Oreochromis niloticus: one gene and its partner. Each later gene encodes a partner of the first gene's protein in a complex. Links are inferred from orthologs where the notes say so. Each region holds a gene or a part of one and is shown on either strand. Other genes may lie near its edges.

Region 1 (7,826 bases):
TAATCATTTCCAGTCTGTGCACTGGCACGTAGACCCCCGGTTTTTCTTGAAACGAACACACGGTGGCTCACTTTCTCTTGATTTTAGCCTTTACTCCTAACCCCTGAAGACATGTTAGGCCACCAGAAGAGGTCCAGAGAAGATCATGTTCATATTCCTCCGCCCCCTTTCACCCACACTTCATCGTGTTTCAAGCACATGCAAACAATGACTCATGCGTTGCTTGTTTACATTGCCCACTAATGTGCTTTTCAAGTGGCTTTAATTAGGTTTTCTTGATGCTTAAGTTACCATTTAAGTGACTTTCAAAAGCAAGACTTCAACTACAGCCTTAATGGGATCTGTTTTAGAAGCAGGTTCAACAAACTCCAAGTTGATTAATGCTGAGCTGCTAAACTCTGGGTTTGTGGTTCTAGAAAGTTCAATCAGCTGAATATGTTCAGCTCAAGTTAAGCCTGTGCATAAGCAGTAAAAAATAGCCATCATCAGCGGAGCTCCAGCACCAGATTCACCATGGCAACAGGCAAAGAGCAGAGTCTCCATTTATTCACTGGACTGAGGAATATGAATGCATCTTAATGTAGAGGGAGACTTATCTTTAAAACACAAAACAAAAAAGAAAAAGAGTCAGCATCATCCACTCATAAAGCAGGAATCTTACCACATTTAAGTTTTGTTATTTACTTGCAGCCTGATGTGAACCAAATACAGATGCAAGCAAATGAACAAATCTGGATTAAAAAAACCAAAAACAAAAAACCTGTAGTTCTCCTGTAAATCAGATTACCTTGATTGCTTTTGGAAAACAATATCAATTTACACATTTCAGAAATCAATTTTTCGTTTAAAAATGATGTCTGACTGTGAACATATTGCAGTATAAATTACAAACAGAATATAATCAGACCATCTACAGCCTGGATTTAAAAACTCATTTTAAATATTTAATCCTGTTTTAGAACCATAAAGTCAGTTCAGACTGATCTTCACACCAGTATTTACATCATCTCCAACATGAAGCCAACTGTAAAATAAATGCAACCTATAAGACAGTTACAGCTGCTTTTCTGTCCACAAAGTTAGATGGATATAGACTGTAGAATTTATTCTGGACTGCTAATATATCCAGCAAACTGTTTTTATCCTTACAATGATGATTTAAAATGAGGACTACCATCAAATGTGGCAATCAAGACAAGTCAAAATTGTAACACTTTCAGGTTCTTACTGAAATAGTCGATGTAGGTAGAAGAACAGGAAATGGATTTGCTGCTGAAGACCAATCCTATTAAATTAAATCTAAGTTTTTCAGTTTTTAGGTTTTAGAGAATGGCCATTAAGATTACGAATACTTCTATGTACATAGACCACTTGTCAGTAATGTTACCTGCAAATAAAATCCAGACATTGGAAAAGTAAAGCATTCATTGGACGAATTGGATTCAGTGGACCTAAAAGCTCGATTTCACGATCAGAGTCACCTGCACTACTTTAATGCATTTTACATCCAATGTCTTATATTCTGAAGCTGTACCGGCTCACGTGATCCTGGAGAAACTTTGCAATATCTAAGAGAAAGTCTGCAACAGTAGTTTTAGTATTAGTGGTCAATATGCTTATGAAATCAAGCCTTCAGGTAAATAAAAAGCTCCCTCATCTGTGGAGCCAGCTCTGAGTTTATATTCAAGAGACAGACACACCGACTACTGTTAAGATTAGGATTAAAACTTTCTTTTTTGATAAAGCATATAGTTAGGGCCTGATCAGGTGACTCTGAATCCTCCCTTAGTTGCACTGCAACAGGCCTAGGCTGCACTTCTTCATTCACTGTGTTTATACACCATTTTGCATTTAATTATTATTTATCTATCTCTGGCTGTCTCCCACAGCGTGTCTTTTGTCCCGTCTTCCCTCTCTCACCCGCAGTTGGAGCAGATGGCCACCCCTCCCTGAGACCGGTTCTGCTGGAGCTTTCTTCCTGTTTAAAGGGAGTTTTTCCCTTTCCACTGTCTCCAAATGCTCGCTCAAAATGTGGTCGTCTGATTGTTGGGGTTTTCTCTGTATTATTGCAGGGTCTTAATGTTACAGTGTAAAGCACCTCAAGGCAGATGTTGTTGTGTGGCCATCTAAATAAAATTAAATTGAATTTTTTTTAAATCATTAGTAAGTTGAATAAGGTTGGTCCAGTTTCAGTGCTCAGTTTTAGTATTTACTCAGTAGTGCGATGCTCTGTTGTCTATTTAAAGGACAGATTTCCAGGACAGAAGATGTGTTCACAGACAAAAATACTACAACATTTTGGTTTTCATACCTTCAAAAACATGTTCATCATTCTTCCCGGTCCTGCACACTGAGTTGTCATGTCCTTTCATTCACGCCATCTTCTTACCAGTCTCCACTGATTGTTATTATTCTTCCCTTGCACCATACGGGGTGTGAAACAGACCTTTGACAGATATGCTACGGCCCGTGTGAAGCGGTTTTTAGATTTAACGTATGGATTTAGAGATGATGGAGATGTATTACGGGACTCTTGAGGAGGAAGGCTTTTTGTGTTCCTCTTAATAACACACTTAGGCATCAAACCTGTAGGTTTAGGCTGCTGTTCAGAACGCCAGTTGGCCAAGTGTCTGGGCCGTCTACTCACACTGGCTCGAGGCATGTGCCTGTTTGGTTGCATGAAAGGCTGTAAACGTTCAGACCTCACAGTTTGCCTCTGTGGTTTAGAAAATGAGCCCAGTGGGTTTCTTACTCCATAAGATGCGAGCCCACTCTGGGGTGGATTTCTCAATCTATTGTAATGCGGTTTCTGAAAGGTAGATAGGAGTTTTTGATTGTAGAGGTTTGAATTCTCATGTTTTGCATGGGCATTTAGGACGAAGGGAACAGCACTGACTTTGTGGTATCCGGGAACAAAACTCAAGGGTTTGGCGGTAAACATCCAGTGAGCTCTGTCCATCTGTTTTTGCTTATAATGAGGAATTTGCGGGTATTGTGGGCTGCTTTGATAACCCATGTGACCTCTTCTCCACTGGGGTAAGGGGTCATTAAAGCTTAAAGAGACAGAACCACTTGATGGAGGCCAGTGGACGTTGGGAGCATATTTTACAGTCCTCAACTCTTTGCTCTCAGTAGGTTGACGTGCCTGGACTGAAGCACCTATTCTTGTCTTGTATTTGGGCCAATAATGCTGCATGGAGGGGTGATGCTTTTTACCATAGGAATATACAGATGGTAGGATTTTTGCAGATGGGACATTAGTTTGACTTGCTCTGTGGAAGTCTTTAGTGAGTTCAAAGCCACTGGGTGGTCTCCAGTACCTCATTAAAGGATCTCTACTTTGAGAGACATGTACTGGATTTAGCATATCCTTCCAATAAGGTGTTAAATTTGAGGTCTCACTTGAATACTGGCTGAAATCTTGAGATGGGCTGTTTGCAGGGTTCACAGGGGGTGCAGTCACATGTTTACTATAGGAAGAACCCTGCCTGTGAAAGGAGCTGGAGGGAAATTGTGTTTTTTTTGGTGGTTTGTATTGTTCTGAATCCACACTCACAGATAAGTCATTGTTTCCCCAGGGAAAACCGTGTGCCAAATTTCTTGAAGCAAGACCTGTGGCTGCTAAATGATCGTGTGGGTAGAAAGTGGTGCCCGGCCTAAATTTTTGGTTGTCATAAACACTGGAAGAAATGAGACTTGCAGAGGAGTCGACAGGATCAGGGAAAGAGAGGAGTTTATTTGGCGTTTGGTAGTTGGCATCTTCTTCAATCCGATCATTATTTTTCTTGCTGTCACCAGAGGCAGTGCCTCCTTTTTCAGGAGTTGGTCTATAGTCCATGGATGTTCCGAGAGTTTTCATTTTTTCCCGTGCAGTTTCAAAATGTCTACTCAAGTCACTTCCTGGTACTAAGAAGGAATGCTTCATGTTTTCTATAAACTCCTTTAAATGACTCATTGTGGGGAAAGCGACACCCTTCACAGGCTCCTGCATGTTTCCCCTCACTAAAAGGTCAAAGGGATGGTGATAACCAGACTGCTCATTTTGCTCTATAAGAGGAGCAGAAGAGGCCCCGTGAAACTTATCAGGCTGGCTTTGCTTCATCTCAGCGGTAGCATCCTGTCCTTTATCATAAGTAAATGCTTCTGGCTGACGGGAAACAAAGCTTTGCCGTCCAACATTCTCATTGTTTGTATTCAAAGACTGTCCAGAATGAAATCTGCTAGAGGTTTGCGGGCTCTCATAGAGATAGTAGCCATGTGCACTACTGTAACCTATCAGGAAAGAAACATCACATTAAACTTGTGGTCGGTTATGCAAATAAAAGTACTGAAATTCTTACCTTCTTCAGGAGGAAAGCACAAGCAGCTCCACAACAGAGTGCAAAGCCAGGAGAGCCTGAAAAGAAAAAAAGAGACTAAAATACTAAAAATATAAAAGAACTGAGAATAAAATGACATTTTTATTTACCTGAATGAACGAGCCATGAGGTTGAGCTCAACCACAGACTCTACCTGCAGCAGAATAATGATTAAAGCTACAAACCAGCAAAATAATCACTCATGCTCTGAGTGAAGCCACAGTGGCAGGAAAGATGTCAGAGGGGACACAAAACTTTCTCACATTCTGCTTCCACTGATTGCAATCGAAGTTATTGAAAGCAGCTGCTGCTGAGTTAGTTCTTGTAGGTCCTCAAACTGGTGGTGCACGGTGAATTTGATCTGGTTGTATTTTTACTGCGAAACAGTAACTCAGCTTCAGAGAACCTAAAGACTTTCTCTTACTGTTAATAAGTAATGTTATCAGGGTGTTCTGTTTCACTCGGTCAGTCTTTGTCAGTCCAGCTTTAGCTTTATAATCATAATAAACTGTTTTATAAATTAGATAAATTATTATTTTTTTGTTACTTGATTCCCATCCTTTGTTAGTTAAGCCTGGCTCCTGACAGCCTGCCTCCCTGTTTGCTGAATTAATGATGAGCTGTTTCTTGTTGGGTGACAGGAAGTGGAAGAGGTTCATTGCACAGAGCAAGAGAGATACCCTGGAGTTGACTCTGCAGATGGACTTGACAAAAAAGCATTTTGAGAGGAAATGCTGGCAGGTTGCACTTACCAAACTGCTGAGCTGGGTCAAATTACACAAGAGGATGAAAGCTGGTAGGTCAACATTTTAGGGTTTTTTTTTCCTGAAGAATTTATACTGAGGTCTGTTGGCTGTTTTTTTTTCTCGCTCCCTCCTGTACAAAGCCAGAGAAAACACTCACTGAGGTTAAGAAATTTGCCAGACTAAAAGTCATGCTCCCACGTTGTATCCTCCCACTGCCATGACTCATTTTGTCCCTGTGCACCTTTTTACTTATATTCTTAACTCAGTTGTCATAAACCAAAATTATCTTTGGATTTATGATTGATTGGATTGGTTGGTTGGAGTCAATACTTTTGTGCAGAAATGTATATTTTCCTAAGTTAAAATGAATGAACACTCCAGCTCTCACTGAGAAACTGGAGGCCCCTTTAAAAGCTAGATGCCTCAGCCTTAAGTGTATCACTGCTCCATGGTGTAAAGATAGGACTTGAAAGGGACAGGAGACTACTTCAAAACTGAATTAACACTTTTTATCTTTTGTGTGTGTGTGTGTGTGTGTGTGTGTGTGTGTGTGTGTGTGTGTGTGTGTGAATTTTCCCCTGATGTTACAAGTGGGATTTACTGAAATGGACAACAAGCATCAGCAGAGTGAAAAAGGATGTGATGCACTCTCTGTGCTCCCAAACAGCCTCTTACTGAAGGTAGATTCTCTTACAGCGAGCAGCATTCTTGTCTCAGTTTTCTTTGTATTTAGCCTGGAGTTTGTACACAGAAAGATGATGGCTAGTCTGTTTTTGGTTTTTTGGTTTTTTTAGGCTGCAACAGCCCCTTGTTCTCTGAGCAGTCAGCGATGAGCTCAGATATCAGTTACATAACTCTTTAAATAGACTCCACTGTAAACATACAGTCCACTCTCTTTGAGGGTATTTGGTTAAAGTCACTTGCAGATCATTTTCCTTTAATCTAAATACATACCAGAGTGTGCGTGTGTATATACACTTACAGGCCACTTCATTAGGTACACATGTTCAACTATCTGTTAATGCAAATATCTCGCATGGCAGCAACTCAGTGCATTTAGACATGTAGACGTGGTCAGGGCTAAAATTCAAACCGAGCATCAGACTGGGGAAGAAAGGCCATTTAAATGACTGGTATGTTTATGGTGCCACACAGGATAGTCTGAGCATTTCATGAACTGCTCATGCACTGCAATTTTCCCACGCAATCATCTCTAAGGTTTACAGCAAAAGGTCCAAAGAAGAGAAAATATCCAGTGTGTGGCAGTTCTCTGTGGGGGAAAAGAAAATGTTTTGTTCATGCCAGAGGTCAGAGGAAACTGGCCAGACTGTTTTGAGCTGATAGGAAGGCAGGAGTATCTCAAACAACCACTCATCAAAACCAAGTTAAGCAGAAAAGCATCTCTGAATGCACAACACATGGATCCTTGCAGCAGATGATCAGGTGCCACATCTGTAAGCTGGCAATAGGGATCAGAGGCTACAATTTGCACAGCCATTGGCTGCTCTGAGTCTCAATTTATTCTGCAACACTGACTGCTCGGGCTGCTGCTGCTTGGTACACTCTCTGTACTAAATCAGCACAGTTTAAACGCCACAGCCTACCTGGGTATTGTTGCTCACTGTCCCTGTATGACCACAGTGTACCCATCTTTTGATAGCTGCTTCCAATAGGACAACACACAAAGTTCACATCATCATGTTCATGAAACCAGTTTGAGATGAGTCCACTGTGCAGCATCTTTTGGGATGTAACGAAATGAGACATTTCCACCATTAAGGATATCTTGTAGGCAAAAAGGGGTATAAGCAAGGTGTACCTAATAAACTGACCTGTGAGTCCATGTATGCATATATATATATAATATAGCCACTCGCCAACACTGACTCCACTCACCAGTTGAAGCATCTGTTTGTGTGGAATTTGCTTCTGTCCTCGGTCGATGAACAGTGTTTCAGCATGACTATGTTTGGCTTTGGGTGCTTGTTCACATCTGCAGCCACAAATATGGGCAGAGGTGCCAGCAGACCCTGTCAGAGGGCCAATAACATCAAACAAAAAGCGAGGAAGTTGTATTTATACAAAAAATGGTGTCTAAATCCTATGTCCACATTTGTGTATTATCAAAAATATTGTTTTTATTTTAAATATGCTTCAATGTTTGGTTAAAGTTTAGAAACCTAACTGTAATATTTCATCACCTCATGGCAACAACATGATAAACCAGAGTTTTACTGTAACTCCCTTTAAGTATTCAGAGAAAAGTCAAGTGTCATTTGTCTGCTGTTTTTCCATGTGATAAAAAAAAAAAGATGATTTGTGATTTTAATCCTCAGATCTTTCAGTACTTAGAATTACAAGAACTGCTAAACTGTGCTGAAGTATGCTGCACATGGAAATCTATCATCCAGTCTGGCGTGTTGTGGAGTCAGGTCTGCATTTAGAGATTACTTCTTGTGATTAATTTATGATGCTGTTAAAATGGTTTTACTTTAAATAGCAAGAGTCTGAATGTCCCCTAATTGTTGCTCGTACTAGATCAACCTATCTGTGGCCAAAGACTGGATAACAGATGGCACAGTGAAGAAAATTCTGCAGAGTTACCGCTTATTTGTGACCCATCTTAACCTGCGTGGCTGCACCTCCCTGCAGTGGCCCAGCCTGAGATTTGTCAGTAAGTCTTCTTTGCTGGATTTAAGGTGTTTTATATGCAGGTGTACAA
Region 2 (7,320 bases), on another chromosome or scaffold:
AAGTCTGAATCTAAACTTCAGCAGCTTCAGGCACAGAAAAGCTCACGTGTAAAAGGAAGAGATATAAATTATTTAAACAAGGCTGACATGTAGTATTTCCTGAGTGGTGAACAAACCTGACCTGAAACACCAGTGATCAAAAATAGAGTACTGAGGTTTGCACAATCTTTACCAGACTGATCACAAGACTCATAGTAATGATATGCATTCATGTGTGCCTTCAGTATAAGAGAAAAATACATTGTATAATAGATAATTTGGTTTAACAAACTCCTATTTGCATCTCAGCCTTCTTCTCATCCACAGAAATCAGAAATTTCTTTATACAATGATATAACTGAACTGTCTTACTTGTCCTCCAGTAGCACTTTAGTCATGGCTGGGAGGAATCTGTCCCAGTGGATATATCCTGAGCGCTCATCTTCCACCTGGTTGCACAGGAACAGGCTGTTGGGGGTTGCTTTGAATTTTCTAACAAAAATAATGCTTCTAATGTTACCCAGGATTTTATAACAGTCACATAATGGCACAGGAGATTCTGTAACATTACTGAAATGCACAATGTCAGAACCCTGTTTGCACATCCCATTACTGATCTTCCAAAATAGAACCAGACTACGGGAGGATGCTATACTGACCTCAGATGTGAACTTCTGTAGGTCTGCCTGAGTGGGAAAGAAACCCAGTGAATAGAAGATGGTGCCAATCTCCCTAGAGAACAACAACAAGAAGTGCATTAAAAGTATTTAAAAGGACAGTTTCAGTTAGTTTCACTAATTCCTGTGTGCTATGAACCATCTCACCGCAATGTCCTACTAAAGCCCACTCAGCCAGTGGAAAGCCTTGAGACAAACCACAAACTTTATTTCTCACAGCCAGCGTCCAAATAACCCACTTCAACCAAACTATTTACCAGTGGAAACAGCTGCGTAATCTGAACTACACAGCATTTTGTATGTCTTGAGACTTGAGTCCCACATTTTTATTGCCTCTAATATTCAGAAGTCCACACTGCAGGATGGACACCTATGCTATATCTAACAGGGAAACTCACAGGTTATGTAGATCTCAGCAAATGTGATGGAAATAAAACAAAGAAAAGGAAGTGTGGCTGAAGCCAGGAGTAGTCAGCTCTCAGAGATTGGGCCACTTGACTTTCAGGCTCATGTTATTTATGTAGAAATGAAGTTAGAAACGCAAATACTTTATATTTGTTTTTGTCAAACTAAATGCCAAATCTCTAACCTAAATAATTAGTTTTTCCCTGGACAGACCAACAATTTTAGGTTAGCAAAATGTCCTAAACTGTCCAAGCCCATGTTTAGTTTGTCAGACTGTATAAAAGATATACAGTCTGGTTACCTTAGCAGGGAGGACACTTTGTGTGCAGTTTCCACTCTATTTAAAACCTCCAGTGAGAAATTCAAAAACTTACAGACAGGAAACCTACTGAGAGCAGATTTAAATAAACAGCTGTGTTTCGACCTTTCTGCATCTGCATAAGTTAGTAAAAAAAATATCTAGGAATTAAAGCTGCTGTGACCTCTAATAATGCTAATTAAAAAATATTCTACTCTACCATTTAGTTTAATTTTACATAGAAAGCACACACTTGGCTTAGAAAACATGCTGCACTGTCGCTGAAGGGAAAGGACATGCACATTTGTTTGCCAGATGTTTTCATCTGTGTGGCTGATTAGAGTTCCTCAGGTTGCACAAAGCTCTGGTGAGATTTTAAGAATATTTCTTACAGCCATTTATTGAAACATGTACATTCATAAGTGGAAATACAGACACTGTGTAATTCTAACTCTCTTGAAAGTCAGTGTTCTTGTAATTTTGTAGTCTTCAGGAATAGTTCTCCAGGCAGACAGTGTTTCATTTTGTGTTTTTGTATCCAGGTATGCTGTTACTGCATCGGCTGTGTTTGGGGTCAGACTCGTTGATGAAAAATGGGAGCTCTTACCAATCAGATGGTATTCCACGGTGAATCAAAATCTGTCAGTACTTTTCTTTATTCATAATTTCAGGAATTTTGAATAAATTCACCAACACCACTGACTGAAATGCAGCTGTACTTTGCTTATGATTGCCACCGATATTTGGCCCAGTCCTTGCAAAAACATCAAAAACCTCCATGGCACTTCTGTTTTCAAAATAAAACTAAGATCCCTGTATTTTCATGGCAAGGTTATGTGAAAACAGTTTTTGTGTAATTTGGCATACCTCATCCTTTTCTTTCTGTTTCCCTTCATTAATCTTTGGGAATCACCTTGTTGGTGCAAAAATACTATTTTATGCCTTTCAAATGTATTATCTTTGGAATTTTTTGCTGATTCAACTAAAGAAATGGGGAAAAAATTATGTGTTTTTGCAACAGTCTGCTAATAGAAGGTGACCAGTAACCGTTAAAACAGGTTCTTTGCTGAATTGTTTTGAGATTGCTGAGTTCTTTGGTGTTGACACAACACTGGTTCTGGTCCCCAGAGGTAGGTGTCTTGTTTATGCTAAAGTGATTCACAGGTAAGTGTTAAGTGGGGTCGCAAAAAAAAAAAAGGTGCAACACTGGAACAAAAATGAAAGAGCTATTGCTAAAAATTACAATAAAATCTGGCTCCTTGGTAACAAAATGCAAAGAAATGAGGGCTGGCTCAAGATTTTCTCACAAGACTGCATCTTGTGTACTTGTTAAAACGTTTAAGGTCCTTTGGATCTTCATAGTAATCAGCTTCATAGTACCTATTAAGTATCTTTCCGGTAATAAAAGTAAATGGCTTGTCTTGTTTTACCCACTTGATATCCACTGTGTTATCAGACTTGGTGTCAAAGGCTTGAAAAGCGCCTTTGAGCTTCTTGAGGATCTTGGTATTAAGCACGGTGGCCTCTGACAGACAAAATAAAGAACACATAGTGAAGCATTAGCTTAGCTGGCTTAGTTCTGGAGGAAATAATGACAATACTTTCATCAAAGATCAGCCACTATGACGGGTCGGCACAGAGTTTTAGACTGAAACTTTCACTGTGGTCTCAAGATGTTCAATTTGTAGACAAACTGAAAATGAAAGTAACTATTACCAACCTGCACTTTTGCTGTTCTCCGCCATGTTTGTCCGGTCGCTTTTCTGTTGCCCAGCAACAGTATGGTAGGAGACCAATTAAACGCCTCTGACGTTTGCCATCTTTTAATCGCCAGAAAACCTTTATTGTCGAATTACATAGAGCTACTAATAACACATTATTAATTAATTTATTTTTTATTTAAAGCTCACCGTCTTGCTGAAGAAGTCATTCGATTAAAAAAAAAGCCTTCCAACAACGTGACCCCTCAGAAGTTCCTGATATAATGAAGCCACGAAAATGTGTTTTCATACTATAAAGGTTTTTTCCCAAGGATTTTGTTAATTTTCTATGAAATAATCTATAAGTATCACATTTAAACACAAGACAGACTGAAAACAAACAAAGAGAGCAGAGAAATACTTGTTTCTTATTTATTTTCTTCCGCCTTATAAATGCATAAAATGGTTTAAAAAATTAGCAAAAAAAATTTAAAAAATTAACAAATAGTACACTCTTTCACACTAAAAACATTTCAAGTATGTAGATAATGATAGCATTTTACATTACTTTTCATTTTATTTCAATGGGGCCACCATAAAGATTATTTTCTTTCATACTCCTTGTCTAGTGAATTCAATATGTACTCATTTTACTTGCTGACATAATATTAAGGAGAGCGAATTTTCATTTCAGCTGAACCAACTGTGAATCTGAAACATTATAAAAAACAGCTAAAAGTGCAGAAAGTCCACCATCCACATGTACATGAATCCACAGTGTCTACTGACATTTGGGGAGGAGGACACATCCAAGTAACATCCAGTCAAATGATGCAGTAGCTCATAAACTGGTGGTATAAAGCAAACAAATACATTAAATAATCATGGCAGAAAATGGTAAATAAATGGTAAATAAATTCAATTAAAGTAATAACACATTTTCCAACTTAAAAAAAAAAAATTAAAAGGTCTCTTTTAATCATGGCTTCTGTTTTATTGTTGCAACTAATATTACATTCTGCCTTTAACCCATTAAAAGCTCTGGGAATCATTGAGCATCCCAATACAGTGGCAGAAATATTTTGACCAGAAAGACCTTTTGACCACCCATCTACATGTTTAACAGTCCAGTGAATTGTGCATTAGCAGAAACTCAGAACTCAGATCCAGAAGAGGACCATTTTTGGGGATGCTGATTAAGAAGCTATCCCATACAGTACATAAGAGACTGAGGCCTAGATGACAGAGTGGTGTTTTCTCTAGTGTGTTTATGTGTGTGTGTTTTATATCTCTGGTTGGCCCTGATGTACAGGGATATTGTGGTCCTGCCCCAGATCTTCTATTGTGACTTCTGGGATTTGATGTCTCTCATATTCATCCATTTGCCTTATGGGTTCAACTTCCTTTCCTTGTACATCCTCTTGAAGCTGAATCTCTTCACGAATCTGTTCCTCTCTCTGCTCCACTGCACCGACGCTGTCCACGTTAGCAATAGCGTTTGATAGCTGTTCCTCCACTACTGCTTCCTGCTCCTGCTGAGGTGCATTGTTGTTGCTTGGGTCCTTTAAGGTAGAAAGTTATGATGAGGTGTTGTTTTTGCAGCCAAATATAATAAAGGTGTGAATAAAACTACATCAAGCTTGAACAGTATTAACAGTACTTCCAATACATTTGCAGTACCTGTGTGTGAGTGAGTGAAGGGGAGAGCAGCTCAGATAGAGCCAGCAGACCATCCTGGTTTAGATCCTGAGTCTGTAGTAAGAAATCTACCATAGAAACCACCTGAAAGCAACATGCAAACATACACAAATATCACAGAGTGAAGGAAAAAGGCCAACACCTTGTCAGTTCAAATACACACACATACAGTCGCTCCTGCTAACCTGCTCACTGGCCTCTGCTCCAGGTATATGATGGGAGTTAAAAATCTGAGAGGAGCTTCATCATCTCCAAGCCATCTAAGAACCCACTGCGATCATAATCATAAAGGCCAAACAGGAAGAATACCTCTGGAACATAGCACAGCACAATTCACAATTATACAATCAAATAAAAAAGACTTTATTAGATTCTGACTAATAAAGTCTACATTATTTGGCAATGGTGATCCCAGTCAGAACCCATCAGTGTAATATCTACTGGTAAGAGGCATTGTTTACCTTGTTCCCAGGTGGTGATTTCTGGTCCTCCTTGACCTCCATTCTTCAGGCTTGATTGAATGTAACTCTGTCTCAAACTGTGGTACACACAACAAAAAGCACAGTTTAGAAAAAATGTTAGAAAGCAGATTGGTAGTGCAACTGCCATGTGCTACAGACTCTTTCCACCCTTGTGCCATCTGGTAGAGGGTATAACACTCAAGCACCCTGTGCCAGACTCTTCAAGCTCCTAAACCCCACGCTCCCGTCTCCAAAAACTTGGACTTCACTATTTCAGTTCAGATGCACACAGACTTCTGCTCACAGAGCCTGTTTCAGCTCTTTAAATCATTTATAACATGTTTAAAAGAAGTTAAAGATCCCCTTCAATCATGTTCAGTGATGTACAAAATAACTTGTGTCTCATGTTGTGAGAAGAGGTTAGAAGAGAAATCAATACCTCTTCATTCATTAAAAAATCTAGAATGTAGCAATAAAAATAACCAATTTTATTAACCGCTTTAGATGGCAGCTGATCGCAGCTGATCGCAGCTGACACAGGGCGAGATACAGGGTACACCCTGGATACAAACAGACAGATAACCATAAACTTGCACAGTTACAGGACTCACTGACAGAGTGTAAAGTCATTAAAAGGTGGGGAGCGGAAAAACAAGAAGTGAAAGTGAGCTGACTGAATATAATTTTTAAGGAAATTAAACAATGAGTTTCCTGACATCACTGTGCGCACTTTTATTTAACTCCAATTCAGCTCCTGTTCTTTTTTATTGTTAATGACTGATGAAAAATTCTGCAATGTGATTTTTTTTCAATCAATAACAATAAACTAATTAACCTCAAATTCATGTTGCTGGACTGTGGAAGGAATTTGGGGCCAAACATATGATTTTCTTGCTGTGAAACAACAGATGTTAGCCACTGCGCCACCGTGTTGCTCAGCAATGTTATTATTCACACACACACACACACACACACACACACACACACACACACACACACACACATATATGTATATATATACATACATATAGATATAGATATATAGATATATATAGATAGATATAAATATAAATATGTTCACCTTGCTGGAAATAATATGACAAATTCGTCCATAGAAGTCCAATAGCACTGTTTTTTAAATCAAGGCTGTGAAGTGAGAAATGTTCATTGGCACATGCCTTAAACTCATATTTTAGGTACATGTGCTATGTACTTGTATATGTAATCTTAAGTGAAGCAGATGGCAGATGTGTACTTATAAATGATTTCCTATATTTGTGAATAGACTCTTGACATCTAGTGAACAGGTATTAAACTGGTTACACACCCTTAATATAATAATAGAAACTTCTTAACATTCTTAACACATAACACGTCGTAGCAGGCGGTTCTACCTTTCATAATCTTACATGAAGTAGATGGTAACAATGATGATCTGTGACAGATTTTGATTGAAGCAGCTGTGTTGAAGGCAACTCAGTTGTGCTCTAAAGGAAACACCTTTGGCCTGAATTTTGGATCAGCTATGAGTCATGAGCTTTACATGAGACTTAAAAAGGTATTAAGGCAAGATCTGGTGGTAAGAACCGAGACTGCTCTCAGGGCATCATTTGTTTTAACATCTTAAACTTCATGCACTCCATCACATGCCATAAATGAAGCAATGTTGCAACAGTGAGACACTCTAAATGCTTGAATAATCTTTTTACAAATGTTGATTCAGGCTGCACAAAGGCCTGCTTTGAACCAACATGTATTATTTACTAAGGGTGGTGTAAATTCCAACTGCTATTCCATACAGCTAACATTTATCTGGTCTTACATGCAATAACCTTAAGATGAAAGTATGATAGCGTGTACACATTATTTAATCTTACCAACAAATGGAAAGAAACTGCATCTGTCGTGTGGTTAGATATTTCTTCTTTTGTTCTCTGAACAGTTTATTACAGGCAAGTTCAAACTATTTCAGCACAGTAGCAGCTATGTGTGCTGAGATAATATTTGCAGTGTGGTGAGGAGAACCCCATAAAGGAAATTAATGCAGCATAAATGAGCTCTTAGGTACATGTAATCTTATCATTTTATAGTACAGGCCACAT

The links. Proteins that work in one complex are often made in the same cells at the same time.
Region 2: fbxl13 (region 1) and drc8 share a complex: the UniProt entries of both Homo sapiens proteins name them as parts of the nexin-dynein regulatory complex. The link is inferred for Oreochromis niloticus from reciprocal best matches to the Homo sapiens genes FBXL13 and DRC8.

Annotation. Positions count from the first base shown.
Region 1 is NC_031972.2:56,430,948-56,438,773, reverse strand, and holds the start of fbxl13 (dynein regulatory complex subunit 6), read left to right. Parts: upstream 1-4,587; 5' UTR 4,588-4,708; exon of another isoform or gene 4,709-4,822; intron 4,823-4,999; 5' UTR 5,000-5,057; coding exon 5,058-5,154; intron 5,155-5,695; coding exon 5,696-5,784; intron 5,785-7,440; coding exon 7,441-7,536; intron 7,537-7,642; coding exon 7,643-7,778; intron 7,779-7,826. Other genes in the region: uncharacterized protein LOC100695371, read right to left, coding at 2,369-4,272, 4,341-4,396, 4,469-4,485. UniProt on the Homo sapiens protein: Substrate-recognition component of the SCF (SKP1-CUL1-F-box protein)-type E3 ubiquitin ligase complex.
Region 2 is NC_031965.2:25,792,909-25,800,228, reverse strand, and holds the start of drc8 (dynein regulatory complex protein 8), read right to left. Parts: upstream 3,245-7,320; 5' UTR 3,105-3,244; coding exon 3,080-3,104; intron 2,885-3,079; coding exon 2,794-2,884; intron 712-2,793; coding exon 639-711; intron 429-638; coding exon 352-428; intron 1-351. Other genes in the region: cgref1 (cell growth regulator with EF hand domain protein 1), read right to left, coding at 4,980-5,068, 5,219-5,295. UniProt on the Homo sapiens protein: Component of the nexin-dynein regulatory complex (N-DRC), a key regulator of ciliary/flagellar motility which maintains the alignment and integrity of the distal axoneme and regulates microtubule sliding in motile axonemes.